Linked DNA regions of Drosophila melanogaster. The protein of the gene in region 1 interacts with the protein of each later gene in a pairwise test. Each region holds a gene or a part of one and is shown on either strand. Other genes may lie near its edges. The genes, in order: Syn2 and CG9626.

Region 1 (4,853 bases):
ACATTCTGAATTGACAAATGACCTAAGTGAGTGTCTGATGAAATCACTTAACTGGCTCTGAGTAAATGTATAACAGTTATAAAATCTAGTTCATGTTACGTCTGTGCATTGAGATTTGTTCGGTGGATGTTATATATATATATATTATTTTATAAGGTATTTTTATATATATCTATTATGACATCAGCTATTACTTCAGTAGAAAATAACAATTAATCCGATCTTAAAGCATTCGTTTTTCGAAAATTAAATTTTCATTAGAGCGCACACAAAACACGGTTTTTATATTTCAATCAATTTTCGTTAAACCGCCGAAGAAATATATGTCTAGAGGATACAGCACGGGTTAAAGCCTTTAAGGCCACTCATTATAATCTTTTCGGCTAATAGCAAAAAGCGATTAGATTTCTCTGACATTCAGAATCGGCAGACCTATGTGGTTTTAACAATCCGTAAGTTAGGTAGGTAGGGTTAAGGGTTAATTTAACTTTAAAGGCTACATTCGGAAACGATCGATTATAAACAATATAAATTTGTTGTCAATTTGTAAGTACCAAGTCTACGTAATAGGAAAAATGCCTAAAGTAATTGCCTTATGTATGCTTAAAATTTACTATAATGCACCAAGAGATTTCACTTTCAGTTTTATCAGCGCTATAAATATACCCATATCAGTATCCAATTACAATTACAATCATTCAGATATCAACATACATATGTATATGCGCGTACTCGTTTATAATAACTCCAAGCGGACAATCATGTATGCGATACCTATAGTCCAACATTCATATTCGAATTATTTGCTATGCACTTTACGAATATTCATTATATATCATTTTGAGTGTGAGTCCATGCGAATTCTTGTCCCTCATAATATTTTTGATTTAAGTCTGCTGGATTGAGCTCAAAAATGCTGGATCCACCGATGCCACCTTGGCCGTAAGAAACGCGTGCATGCAGAACAGCAGACTTTGCAGGACTTGGCATTCCAGCTCCTGCAGGATATTAAACTTTTTATATATTATGAAATTATGGTATACTTGTATCTTTAGCTTACCTTGGTTTCTATTGCACGGCTATCGTGATCCTGGAAATGCAACTTCAGCTTCGATTTACCATCATCACTGGAGCCCCTCAGCTGGGAGAATTTATACTGCCAAACTGTGGCGGATTCGGCTCCTTCGGTTAATGAAAAACCAGCTTGCCAGTCCAGCGTGAGTCCACCACTTTTTCCATGATGCGACACGGCAAAGGTCTTACGCTGAGGAAAATTAACATATAATTAGAGAGTGAAGGTATGCGATATAAGTGTAAACCTACGCCCAGTTTGATGACACTTGTCACAATGGCCGCATTCCAGCTGTTTTCGATTCTCAAAAGCTCCTGACGGGTTTCCACGCTCAAATAGCGCGGTTCATGACCCGAACTTTGCAGCAGGAAACAATGCTGACGACTATCCACGGTCTCCGATTCCTTGACAATGCGGAACATGGTCTGGTAGACCTTGTAGACCACCAAAGCCTTACTAATGCCAGCCACATTTAGCTAATAATTTAATAGAAAAAATTAGTTAAGATAATCGAAACTTATCGCAATTGATTGCTACTCACTGGTGGCGTTTCAAAGAGCATCACTTCAGTGCCTTTGAGCAGTAGAAACCTGGGCTTGTAGCTCTGCCACGATATATTGTTGTTAATGACACCTTCATTCACCCAGCCCATGTACTCAATGCGCTCGCCCACAGCAAAGTTTCTATTATATAGCTTCATCTATTGGATACACAATTGATTAAATTATGAATATATATGCCTTTAACTCTCCTACCTGTAAATGCGTCAGGCCCACAACATTGTCTGTTATCAATTTCAGCCACTGACTAAGTATGGCCAGTTCGTCACAGTGTATGACACCTGTGGAAATTCCATTCAGACCGCGAACTTCGAAGGCATTTTGTCGCAGCTTGTCGGTGCCATAGATGTACCTCGTCACATATGCCATCATTAGAGGTACTGCAAGGTGTAAATATATGAATTGATTAGCATTTCTGTACGTAAGATTTGAGATACATTTCTGTTATCTTAGGACATAATCAATGAACAATTTGTTAACCTATTTATAAATAAGGCTCACCGGCAACCACGTCGGTCCAGCGCTTCTCGGGCTCCGAGCAAATTGACATGGGGCGACTACAACTGCGACTGATGGTTCCACTATTGACGGATGACTTGTAGCCCTCGTCAGCCTTCAGTTCGGCACATGTGACATCGTTGTCCGAGTCGGGTGTGTCCTTGGTCACTGGGATGTTGAGGAGGGTTATTCAATCCTTATTTATCGTGCTATGCTAGCCCACTGCTACTCACGTTGTTTCTGAAGGAAAGGCGTGGCTGCGCGATAATGCTTAACAGTGAGCACAACAATATCGCCAGCGTTTCTCAATATATTGACGGCATCATCGTGAGGACATGCCGTGATGTATTCTCCGTTGACCTTGATGATGGCATCGCCAACAAATAGTTGGCCCGTTATGTCCGCAGCCTGATCCTTATAGATACGCGATATCAAAATGGGTAGTTTATGCTCGGCGCCACCTTTTATGCTCAGTCCTAGGCCGCCTTGTTTTTGGCGCGTAATTTGAACCATACGTTCCTGAAAGATGAATTATTTCATAAATAAGTTAAATGTTATAGGGGAAAATATATATATACCTTTGATTCCATGGGTGGTCCATTGGGGTGACAACTACTTGGTGTTACCACTTCCAGCTTCTGCAGCGAAAGCAACTCCATGGTAAGATTAAGTCGAAGCGGTTCTGGTCTGCTCTTGCCATCGCTCACGTGCACCATTCCAGTTCGCACCTAAAATATTAATAATTTAATATTTAATAGATATACATTTATAAATATGAAGAATCTTTGCGTTACCTTCAGGTTTTGGTCGAGTTTTTCTTCTATAGGCGTGGCCATGGTGTCAGAGAGCTTCATAATTCCTGAAATCATTCAGAGAAGAGGGATCTTGAGTGTGATTTATGATCTTAAATGGGAAACGTGCTTAAAGTGATAGGATTTAAAAATGAATTATGAACCAAAATAAAATAAAAATCCAGGAACTCTAGAGATTTCTAGAGATTAGTTTGCTATAATAATAACAAAATGTATCTTCAAGATATCTTGACTATACTTAAAGCTCAATCAATATTTCTAGAGGCGTTAAATTAAATGCGTTGATTGATTGAATGGAATGAATAATTTAGAGCAAAGGGTCTGAAAAGGTTGAAATGTTGCCTGATTTGTGGCAATAACGGGATGTCTACCCTTGTTACCAAATCGGATGGCCGCCAATCAAGTTGGCCCAGTGTAATCAAGCGATTTCTGAGAACTTTTCGTTTTTTTTTTTTTATTTTTAAACATAATCGTGGCCATGGCAATGGACTGCGAAACAACTGCAATCAAATCGGGAAGCCGGCTCCGTGGCCTTTATCGATTGCCATTTTATTTTTCCACTGAGCAGACAGCAGTAAGGCGAAAGCAACGCAATTGCAATCATCGCATATCGAATTACGTTTGCACACTGGCCCACCGATGAGCCGATAGTTCAAGGTGAACTGTGCAATTGCCTTAATTAAATTACACATGCAATTAGAAACAATTAAGCGTAATCAGGCTGCCGCAAAATGTAATAGAAGGCATATCTAGATGGAAACGATACATGGGCATACCTTGGCCAAGTGCGTTTTCTACGAACTGATGCCACGGCATATGTTTTCCATTAAAGTGGAAAATAAATATGCTACCGGAAAACTAGATATGAGTGAAAACACATTGAAGTGTGCCCCATCTGCAGACGTTGTTTGTGGTTTTCCCTGGTGCTGAGTGCCGAAGTGTGGCCGCAACTGCTCCTCAGGAATGGGAGGGTGGAATATGTATTTTGGATAACCACTTGTGCTCCATAAATAGGTGTTTTGCCTAGGGGGGGTTGAGAGTTCTTGAAGGGGGGGGGGGGAGGGTTCGATTTGAGCGCCAAATATGTGCATATGGTGCCAGCTAAATTGCCATCTGAGATTGAGAAATTCTGAATTCGAGGGGAAACACTTTCGCTTTAAACGTTTTCTGCGATCTGATTCATGGTCAAAGTGAATTCAATTGTTATTATTGTTAATTAAAAAAATTATTATATATTTTTAATGAAATTATGAAAGGAATAAAATCATAATAAAATGTTTAGGCCTAAGCTTACGTGTCATCAACAATGAGTTTTTGAAAATATAATAAAAATAAATATATAAAAACGGAATTATTTTACTGAAGCAACATAAAATAATTATAATTAAGGTAAATTATACATTCCAAAATCTATACAAAAATAGATCTATCAACCCAGAATGTTCTATATTGCCTGCAAGAGTTTCGCAGAGTGCAAAAAGTGTCGAATATTTGGACCATGAATTCCTGAATCCTTGGCATTCCGCGTGTCGTAGCAATTAGCTGCTGGTCAGGCCACCGACTTGGCGGAACACGCATACGCTCCGTTGTCCCGGGTTACCTTTGATTATGGCTTTATTATTACGTGTGCACGCTGCGCTGCCCTTTTGGGTGCGTGCTTCAGAGCCGTAAAACCGTGAAGCTAGGCCCAGAGTACTCTGGTTTTTTTTTCGGTGGGGAGGTGTCCAGGAGTGCAGGTCCTTAGCTTCAAACCAAACAAGCCAACATGTTCGGCGTGAGGCCTTGGACAATCAGCTGTGCCACAGCCACGAAAAGAGCAGCAGAAGCAGCAGCAGGCGAAACGTTTCGGGCTGTTTTGCCTGAAGTTTCAGCGATTGAACTTTTCTTTTTTTTTTTGCAGCTCTGGCTGTG
Region 2 (8,000 bases), on another chromosome or scaffold:
CTGGATTCGTGGCAGAGTGTTATCTTGTTTATTGGGTAGAGTTAGCGGAACAGGCGACGGTGGCGGAGGATGCACCCGGGAGAAACTGGGTCCTGAGCTAGTCTTGGCTATCTTGTGCTCAATCTTGTTGCTCGCATTTGCACTGTGTGACTTGTGCAAAGAGTTTTTCTTGTAAAGATGAGCTTTCCGAGGCGGAACTGGAGGATTGTTTAACTCCTGATGTTTCTTGGACAATCTCTCGATGCTATCACTAGCCAGTGGCGGTCGCACAAATAGGATTCCCCGCCGGAAGTGTTCGCTACTTTGACATTTCCGGAGTTCTTCTTTGCTGGGCGGTTGTGTTATACGGTCCAAACTAATGGACTTGTACAGATTAAGGGGCTTGAGAGGGCATCTTGACTTCCCAGGTCTGTCCACCTTTTCCGATTTCTCCTCCGTGGGACTGTCCAGCTCCTTTTCTATCACAGCTAGGCCTTCCGCGGCGCTTGGTTTTGGGATAGTAGTGAAGAGTTTCCGTTTGGTCTTCACGAAGACATTGGCATTAGTGTTGTATGTTCGATTGTGTTCCGGCAGAGGAGGAGGAATAAAGGCTCCCAGCTTTGTGGGTGGAGTAACTATTGAGGAAGGAGTGGTTGAAGTGAGAGGAGTGGTGGATGCGGAGGAAGATAAAGATGGATCATGTAAAACGAGGTGCACTGGAGCAGGTGCCACGCACTGACTCTGCTCAATGAGTTCGCCTGGCTTAACCTTCAGTGACCCGTAGACTATGTCTTCTCTGGCAGTAGCCACATCATGTTCATTTGTCGTCGAGCTCAACCGGAAGTCATCATCCAAGGAACGCTGCTTCAGCCGGAAATTCTTGCGGCGCAATCGGCGCGGTGTCTCCAAAACTGAGTGGGTATCCGCATCGCTGCTGTCGCTCTCCGTCTTGCTGTTCTGCCGGGAACCCATTTTTCGCAGTCGCAGCAGTTTTTTCTTAGCAGAAGCACTTGCACTGGTTGCACCATTATTGGCAATCGGATTGGCATTCACGGTGGGCAAACTGGATCGGCACAAAGTGCCCGTTGTGGTGCTAGTCTCCGTTTCATGCTCCATCGGTGAAGCTGCACTAGCACTGTTGTCATCCTGAGCCAATCGATCCCGGCTGGAGTTGTCGCAGGTGGCATAGGCCGAACTGGAGTCCAACTGCTGCCCATCCTCGCTGGTGATGTTAATATCCGGCACTAAGTCTCGGGGATACCGGTTGCTTCCACCCTCTACAAAGTCATTAAGATTCGAATAAGGTACGGTTCGGTTAAGTGGAAGAAATTCTTACGTATACTCAGCTTAAGGCACTGCAGGCATTCATACAGTCCTTGGAGTTCCTCCAGATACTCCAGCGTTCGCTCTTGCATGGTTTCTTGGCAGCAGGCTTCGTCCAAAGGCGATTTTTGGCTCTAAAATGATAAGTATTTAGCAAACAAATTGGTAAACAAATAACTCAAATTTTTAATTGTCATCTCACCAGCTCGGTTAGTCGTCCCAGTTCGCTCTGGACATCGGATATGGCGTTGAGCACGCCCGCCCTCATCAGGTTGTTGGAGTAGTACGGATAAATGCTACGAATGCTAAGTAATGCGGCCTGGCAGTCCCGCATGGACGGGTGTTCTAGCAGATCGGGCGAAGCATTCTTCAGTTGGCCAAACAGCTCATCGGCACGTTTCAGTGCTCCCAGCAAGGGGGCCAGATTTGTGTGGGACTCAAAGCTCTGGACGCGACGCGAATTGCTGGAGGGAATGAGAAGCCATCAGTTTACGTAGGATCGGGTATTCCAAATGGCACCTACACATAGTCGTTACACTGCACCTCCTCGTACTTATATATGGGCGTCTGCTGCTCCACCAGAGTGTGAGCGGTGACCAGTGGAGAGGCGGTGTCATGAATGTGCTCCTCCACCTCCACCATCACAGCCTCCGGCTCGTCGTACTTTTTGAACTCGTGATCGGTGAGGGCGTCGGTGTCCTCGACTTCCTTCAGATCGTTGACGTCGTTTAGAGAAAGGGATGAAGCCTGCTGGGAGATGGCCTGGGCCAGGTTGCAGTTGGGTGACACACTGTCAAGGGACAGTGAACGGCTGAGAGTCGGGGAGTGATCCGCTGCCACTATAGAAAAGTTAAGAATTAACTTCAGATCGATCAGATAGTTCCATACCCACCTTTATTGCACTCCTTGTTGATGCGCCTCACATCTATGGGACAGTAACCAGGATGCAGCAGGGCAAACGTGGATGCTTCCGGCCCGATTCCCCTAGCTTTCTCCCACTCGTAAAGCTTCCTAGTGAACTTCCTCGAGATGCCCTCAAACTTCATCACCTCTCCATCCGAAGTCTTGACCTCAATTTTCTTGGTATGATCCGGTACCACAATGGCCTTTAGGCGGGACAATCTATCCAAATATTCAAGGTTTAGTCTTCAGAAGAGAAAGATTTTCGGCTGTCTACAAACTTCTCTTTCTCGTGCGGCCTATGCTTGTACCATCGATCGTCATCGGATCCCCTTCTTGTACTCTGACTGTGCTTGGATCCTCGCTTCAGGGAGTCATTGTCCGAGGTAGTGCCGCCACCAGGAGCGCACTTCAACCGATTCCACTGCTCTGTGGGCAAGGCATGTTGTTAAATATGACTATAAAAGGAAAAACCGTGCCAAATACCAACCCAACTTCTTCTGAAACTTCTCGGGCAGATCCTTCTGATCAGGCAAAGCGCACAATCCTTGGCCCTCCAACTTCACTTGACCCATGCTCCACAGATTCCAGTCAATCTTGGGCTTAACATCCCCACTTTGGCTCTTGGCCGTGGGACTTGCTGCTGGTTCTGATGAGGTGATTGATCCTGCAGAGCAATTTTGCTGCTTGGCCCGCCACTTGGTTAGCTTCTTTTTGAACTGTGGGGTAAGATTCTGCTCCAGCTGGGCTGTGGACATGAGTTCGTTGTGCAACAGTTGGGTGGGCGAGTGCTCCTCGCTGCTGCGCTTTCCACTACCAGCTCCTCCTCCGGCTGCTCCACTTCCCAGTTTGACACCTAAAATGGTGGTTTAGCATTGATTAGAGGCTTATTGGATATGTCTTCAATGTTTTTGAGGATCCCTACTGCGGTTGCTGGCGCTGGAACGCTCTAACTCGAGTTGCTTGCCCTTAAACTCTGAATCTAGTTTGAGTACGAGAAGTTGATAATGTTGAAATATCTCGTCATCGGCGTTCTGTGGGAAATTCTTACAGTTTGGCGTAGTGGGTTCCGAGAAATCACCACTGGATAGATCCTCGCTCTCTGCAAAATACCACAAGGTTAAAGAAGTTTCGTTATGACAAAGGGATTGTGGAGTGAAACCATCCCCTCTTGGACCTACCAAATTCACCAAAGAAATCCGATTGCCTGGAAGGACTGCTGGGCACCGAGGAGGTCCCCGGCGAATGGACACGACGCATGCGCGAATCCTTGGGACTCTTGAGCGGAGAGTGCAGTTGTGGCAGATCACTATACATCTGGTTCACCTGGTTGAGATTCAGTGGACTCGGTGGCACCTTTTGTCGACGACTGCTGGTAGCCTTAATCTCCGCCACATGATCCTCTGGCAGGACCTCAAAGTCGGAGAAGGCTTTCGACCTTCGCAATGACTTGCTGGATGATGATTTGATTGGTAGTGGCGGAGCTGAAGATTTAATATTGTCCAGGCGTTCGTCAGTAGCGGATTTTCGTAACTCCACCTCAAAGTTGGAGTCGCGGGATTCGCAGCGGGTATCACTTTTAGAGGAATCACGACCTGGAAAGGATTGACATTACTCTAACGAGCTGTAAATTAATTATTATTAAGAGAATTACGATAATTCTGTCGGGTGGTGGCCTCAAGATCATCCATGGAGCTGGCCGAACTGATGGTACCAGGTGTCCCACCCGTATCACTCATAATATGACCAGAGGAGGAGCTGATGATGCTGTCCGCGGAACTGCTGCCGGCTGCCGCGCTAATGGGCACCTTGAGGTATCTGAAAAATAAATAAGCAATAGAATAACGCCAATGAGAGTAACAATCCGCAATACAAACCTCTCCACCTCATGGTTGAGTGGCATCAAGACGTGGTTTTCCAGAGCACCTGGTCCCGAAGGCGGCACATTTGCCCGCTCCCACTTGAAGGCGGCCTTGACCTTGGTCCACTTGGACACCTTGGCCTTGTTGTCGCTGTAGGTGCTTTGACGCCTCAGGATATATGGTCGCGAGGAGCTCAGCTTTAGACTGGGACGATCGCCCTTCATGAACACGTTTATGTCCTCCTCCATCATGGACTTGCTACGCTCGCGAATACTGTATAACAAAGTGTAATTTTGTTTTTGAATTATATTCATACGCAAAAAATCATAATCACCGTTTAAACTTTCCCTGCTTGAAGGGCGGCACCACCTCAGTGCCCATCAGAGATTCTAGCCAGGTAAGGGAGTGCTCCAGATCGAACTGATGGTCAGTATTGTTGGAGCGAGGCGGCTTGGTGGGTGGATGCTGATTGGCAACTTGACTAGTGGAAGGAACATCGTCATCATCAACAACTGTCAGCTCAGCTTCCCGTTCACCCGCCTCGTTGTCGGTGATGGTGGCTAGTCGGTGCTCCAGAAATCCCTCCAGCAAAGCGTACGTGCGAGTCAGCTCATCCATGGCTTCAATTGCCGAGTTGAGGCGAGTTTTCAGCGGTTCGATGGTGCCCCGATCCGCCCGATAGGGCTGGCACTTGGAGCAAGAGTGCTTACCCAGTTCGCAAACGGGCAGATCCTTGGCCTCTCTCCTCTCGAATTTAGGGGAGGCGGAGAGATTGCGGGCACGGGAGGCCACCGCCGGAAACTGGAAAATGTTCTCTTCCGTGCGACCGCACATCGCCGGCGGAGCGGTGGGCAAGGACTCATAGTGCAGGACATTCTGCCGGGATCGCGTTCGTCGGGGTTTTGGCGGTGGATGCGGCGGCGGAGGTGGCTTGTCCCACTCCATCTCGATATCGCTCAATAGGAACTTGTTTGTTTACTCTGCCCGATTCGCCACTAAAAACGCACACAAGAAAAGAATATCCGAGAATTATCAAAATCGGGAGATTGTTTATAGAAGAGGAAGACCAATGTGGAACGTCCGCCGCCAAGCACACACACACACACAAACACACACACACATACAAACGAGTCCTAAAGTGTAACGATTAAGTCCGCGAAATGTAAACAATATTTTCGAAAATCCCATTTCAGCACGTTTTCCCACATGTGCGAAAGTTTTGAATCTTTCCCAAAAATATGCACGCGTGTGGTCACTTAACCGAAACGGAGAACCGATTCGGAATGCACTGTGTTATTGTGTTTTGGGTCTTGATTACGCTTTTGGCTCAACAACTGGATGCCATCGTGCGTCGGGAGGCCCGCCGAAGAACAAATAAAAGCACGCCGCAAACCAAACTATTTATAAAACGCTGACACTCTTTTGTTTGCCTCCCCATGGCGATCGCACTACGCCACCACACACACCCAATGTGCCGCTGGCCCCCTTCTCGATTCCCCATCGCCAAGTGCGCAACACTTCCTTTATTCCACTTTTAGGTTACACGCAATTAATATTTCCAATTTATGCGAAAGTGCACGCACTCGCGAAAGAAATGTGCTGGATGGATGGATGGACGGACGTGGACCGGTGGATCAGTGGGTGGGTGGGTGAATGGGTGGATGGCTGGTGCTGGGATCAGATCATGTGTATCTGAAGTCGGCGGCCCCCATTACTTTCGCCACTTTCCGAACGTTATATCGAAACTGTTGCCACACATTGAATACACACATTTTTCTTTTCTTCGCTCGACTTTTCTTCCTGGCTGCGCTTCTTTTGTTTAATGGGTTTATGCGCAAGGTTGTCGGTCTATTTTTGGTGTTTTGTTGAAAGGAAAAACAATAACAAATTATTACTTGCACTTTTCCTACTTGCACACTCGGTCGTCCGACCCGCCGCGGAATTTTCATCGGCCACTCGCTCGCTGTCTCTTTCTCTCTCCCTCACGGATACTCGCGATTTTCCGCGACTTTGAAATTCCGTATACGTCCGTTCCGTTCGTCGGTCGAAGCTATTCTGAGCGGTACGGCGCTTTTGAACACATCGGAAAAGTTGAAAATTTTGAGATTTATTTATAGAGAGAACGGGCAGTGTTTTGATCTCTTTGCTGATTTCCAAAGGTCTCTTTGAATATAATTAATCAATGGGTTAATCAGCCCTATAGTGGATTTCTTATTGAAAAATAATAATTAAAATTCAATCACTATGTAATTAAATGTATTTTTACAATTTATGAGATAAAAATTGGGTGTACAGGTTCATACCCAATTTCTAACTCATAAATTATTATTCGAATAAACGCACCTCAAAATAGTTTTTGAAAAAGCCCGTTAAAAACATTGACTTCAATTCGTGCTATTACTATTAGCCAAGTTTACAACCATGGTTCGTGGTCAGGCTTTTATCAGCTACAGTGTGGTAAACAGTAGTTTTCCGACGAAGAGTTGGCAGTTCTGGCCGGCGAGGTTATGCAAAGCGAGAGGTTTGCATTCCAGTAAATAGTAATATTTCTGAAAGAAATGCAGTCCATTCTGTCTTCAATGAGGGCACTGGCCCTGCGCCAGAGCACGGTGGAGCCCCTCCGCCTGCTGCATCTTTCCGCCGTGAGCGAGGCGGCCCGTAAAGGAACTCGGGAGAAGGCCCGCAAGAAGAAAGTCAAGGTGGAAGTGAAGAAGGTTGGATTCATCCCGCACAACCAGCGCAACAAGAAGTAGGTTGTCAGCTCGATGTCCATAACACCGGATTTACTATCGTTCTTCTCTAGAATCAATGTGAAACGGGCGGACAAACATGTGGATGACTCCTGGAAACAGGTGCCCAAAGATGACTGCTATGTGGGGCGCTACTACCGCTGGCCAGTGTACTCGGTGCAGGAAGCTATCCAGTGCCATCGGGAGACGCATCATCCCAGCATGTACAACGTACCCAATGCTCCCCTCAATTTGGATATTGAACTCAACATGCAGGCGGAGAAGATCACACGTTTTGTGGATAACTTCCAGCGCATGGCCATGATTCCACACAAGTTTGACCACGGCGAGGAGCGGAAGATCATAGTTTTCACCAAGGGAAATGTGAGTGCAGCTTCTTAGTACAAAATCATAAAATAACATCTTGAAATTTATTTCCAGAATGAAGTCCTGGAGGCCAGGGAAGCTGGCGCCTCGCTAGTCGGCGGCGTGGAGCTCATTAAGGATATTACCAGCGGCGAGCTGCTGCTCTCCGACTACCAGTACGTCATTGCCCATCCGAATATACTGGCCGAGCTGGTGGCCCTGCGAGGCCTGATGAAACGCAAGTTCCCAAATCCAAAGAGCGAGACGCTGGGCACCAACCTGGCCGAGATGATCGTCAAATTCTCCAGCGGCATTAGTTACAGTGCAGCCAAGGATGAGTACCAGCAAAACTTTGGCCTGATCACCGCCAGTGTGGGCACTTTGGACATGGATGTCCAGAAGCTTGAGGAGAACATCAAGTTCCTACTGCAGGATATTAACACTATGAGGCCCAAGCGCGAGGGACGTTTCATTACACGTGTCCTGCTGAAGAGCCCGCCAAGCAGTGAGCAGCTGAAAATCGATCCCTTTGTCTACGTTCCAGAGATGTGGGACAAGAGCACGGCGAAGGTGAAAAGGGATGGGGCCAAGAAGCAGACAGAGCCGGCGGAACCCCAAGAAGCAGTTGCCTCCAATTAGTTAAAACAGAAGCCTATGTATTTTTGTTGATGGATTGTTTGTGCATACTTTAAACTTACATCTCCTAGAGTCCTAAACAGTCTACTTTACTTTGGCAGCTTTTAATTGCATTCAGGCCTTCTGGGTGGCGGTGCTGCGTTGTTGGTGCTGGCGCATCATCTCCAGCTGCTTGACACGGGTGTAGGCGGCGCTGGCCACCAGG

The links.
Region 2: the proteins of Syn2 (region 1) and CG9626 interact in a two-hybrid assay, tested with the Drosophila melanogaster proteins (one large-scale study listed by BioGRID).

What each region holds. Positions count from the first base shown.
Region 1 is NT_033778.4:16,552,764-16,557,616, reverse strand, and holds Syn2 (Syntrophin-like 2), read right to left. Parts: upstream 3,031-4,853; 5' UTR 3,000-3,030; coding exon 2,925-2,999; intron 2,859-2,924; coding exon 2,709-2,858; intron 2,650-2,708; coding exon 2,364-2,649; intron 2,299-2,363; coding exon 2,134-2,298; intron 2,013-2,133; coding exon 1,828-2,012; intron 1,773-1,827; coding exon 1,614-1,772; intron 1,549-1,613; coding exon 1,324-1,548; intron 1,265-1,323; coding exon 1,061-1,264; intron 999-1,060; coding exon 888-998; 3' UTR 591-887; downstream 1-590.
Region 2 is NT_033777.3:8,294,890-8,302,889, forward strand, and holds the start of CG9626 (uncharacterized protein), read right to left. Parts: upstream 6,090-8,000; 5' UTR 5,975-6,089; exon of another isoform or gene 5,960-5,974; intron 5,855-5,959; exon of another isoform or gene 5,835-5,854; intron 5,060-5,834; 5' UTR 5,010-5,059; coding exon 4,399-5,009; intron 4,338-4,398; coding exon 4,080-4,337; intron 4,021-4,079; coding exon 3,857-4,020; intron 3,798-3,856; coding exon 3,384-3,797; intron 3,305-3,383; coding exon 3,128-3,304; intron 3,059-3,127; coding exon 2,693-3,058; intron 2,632-2,692; coding exon 2,484-2,631; intron 2,425-2,483; coding exon 2,195-2,424; intron 2,142-2,194; coding exon 1,826-2,141; intron 1,767-1,825; coding exon 1,505-1,766; intron 1,437-1,504; coding exon 1,316-1,436; intron 1,257-1,315; coding exon 1-1,256. Other genes in the region: mRpL1 (mitochondrial ribosomal protein L1), read left to right, coding at 6,623-6,813, 6,868-7,177, 7,235-7,798; nac (neuronally altered carbohydrate), read right to left, coding at 7,910-8,000.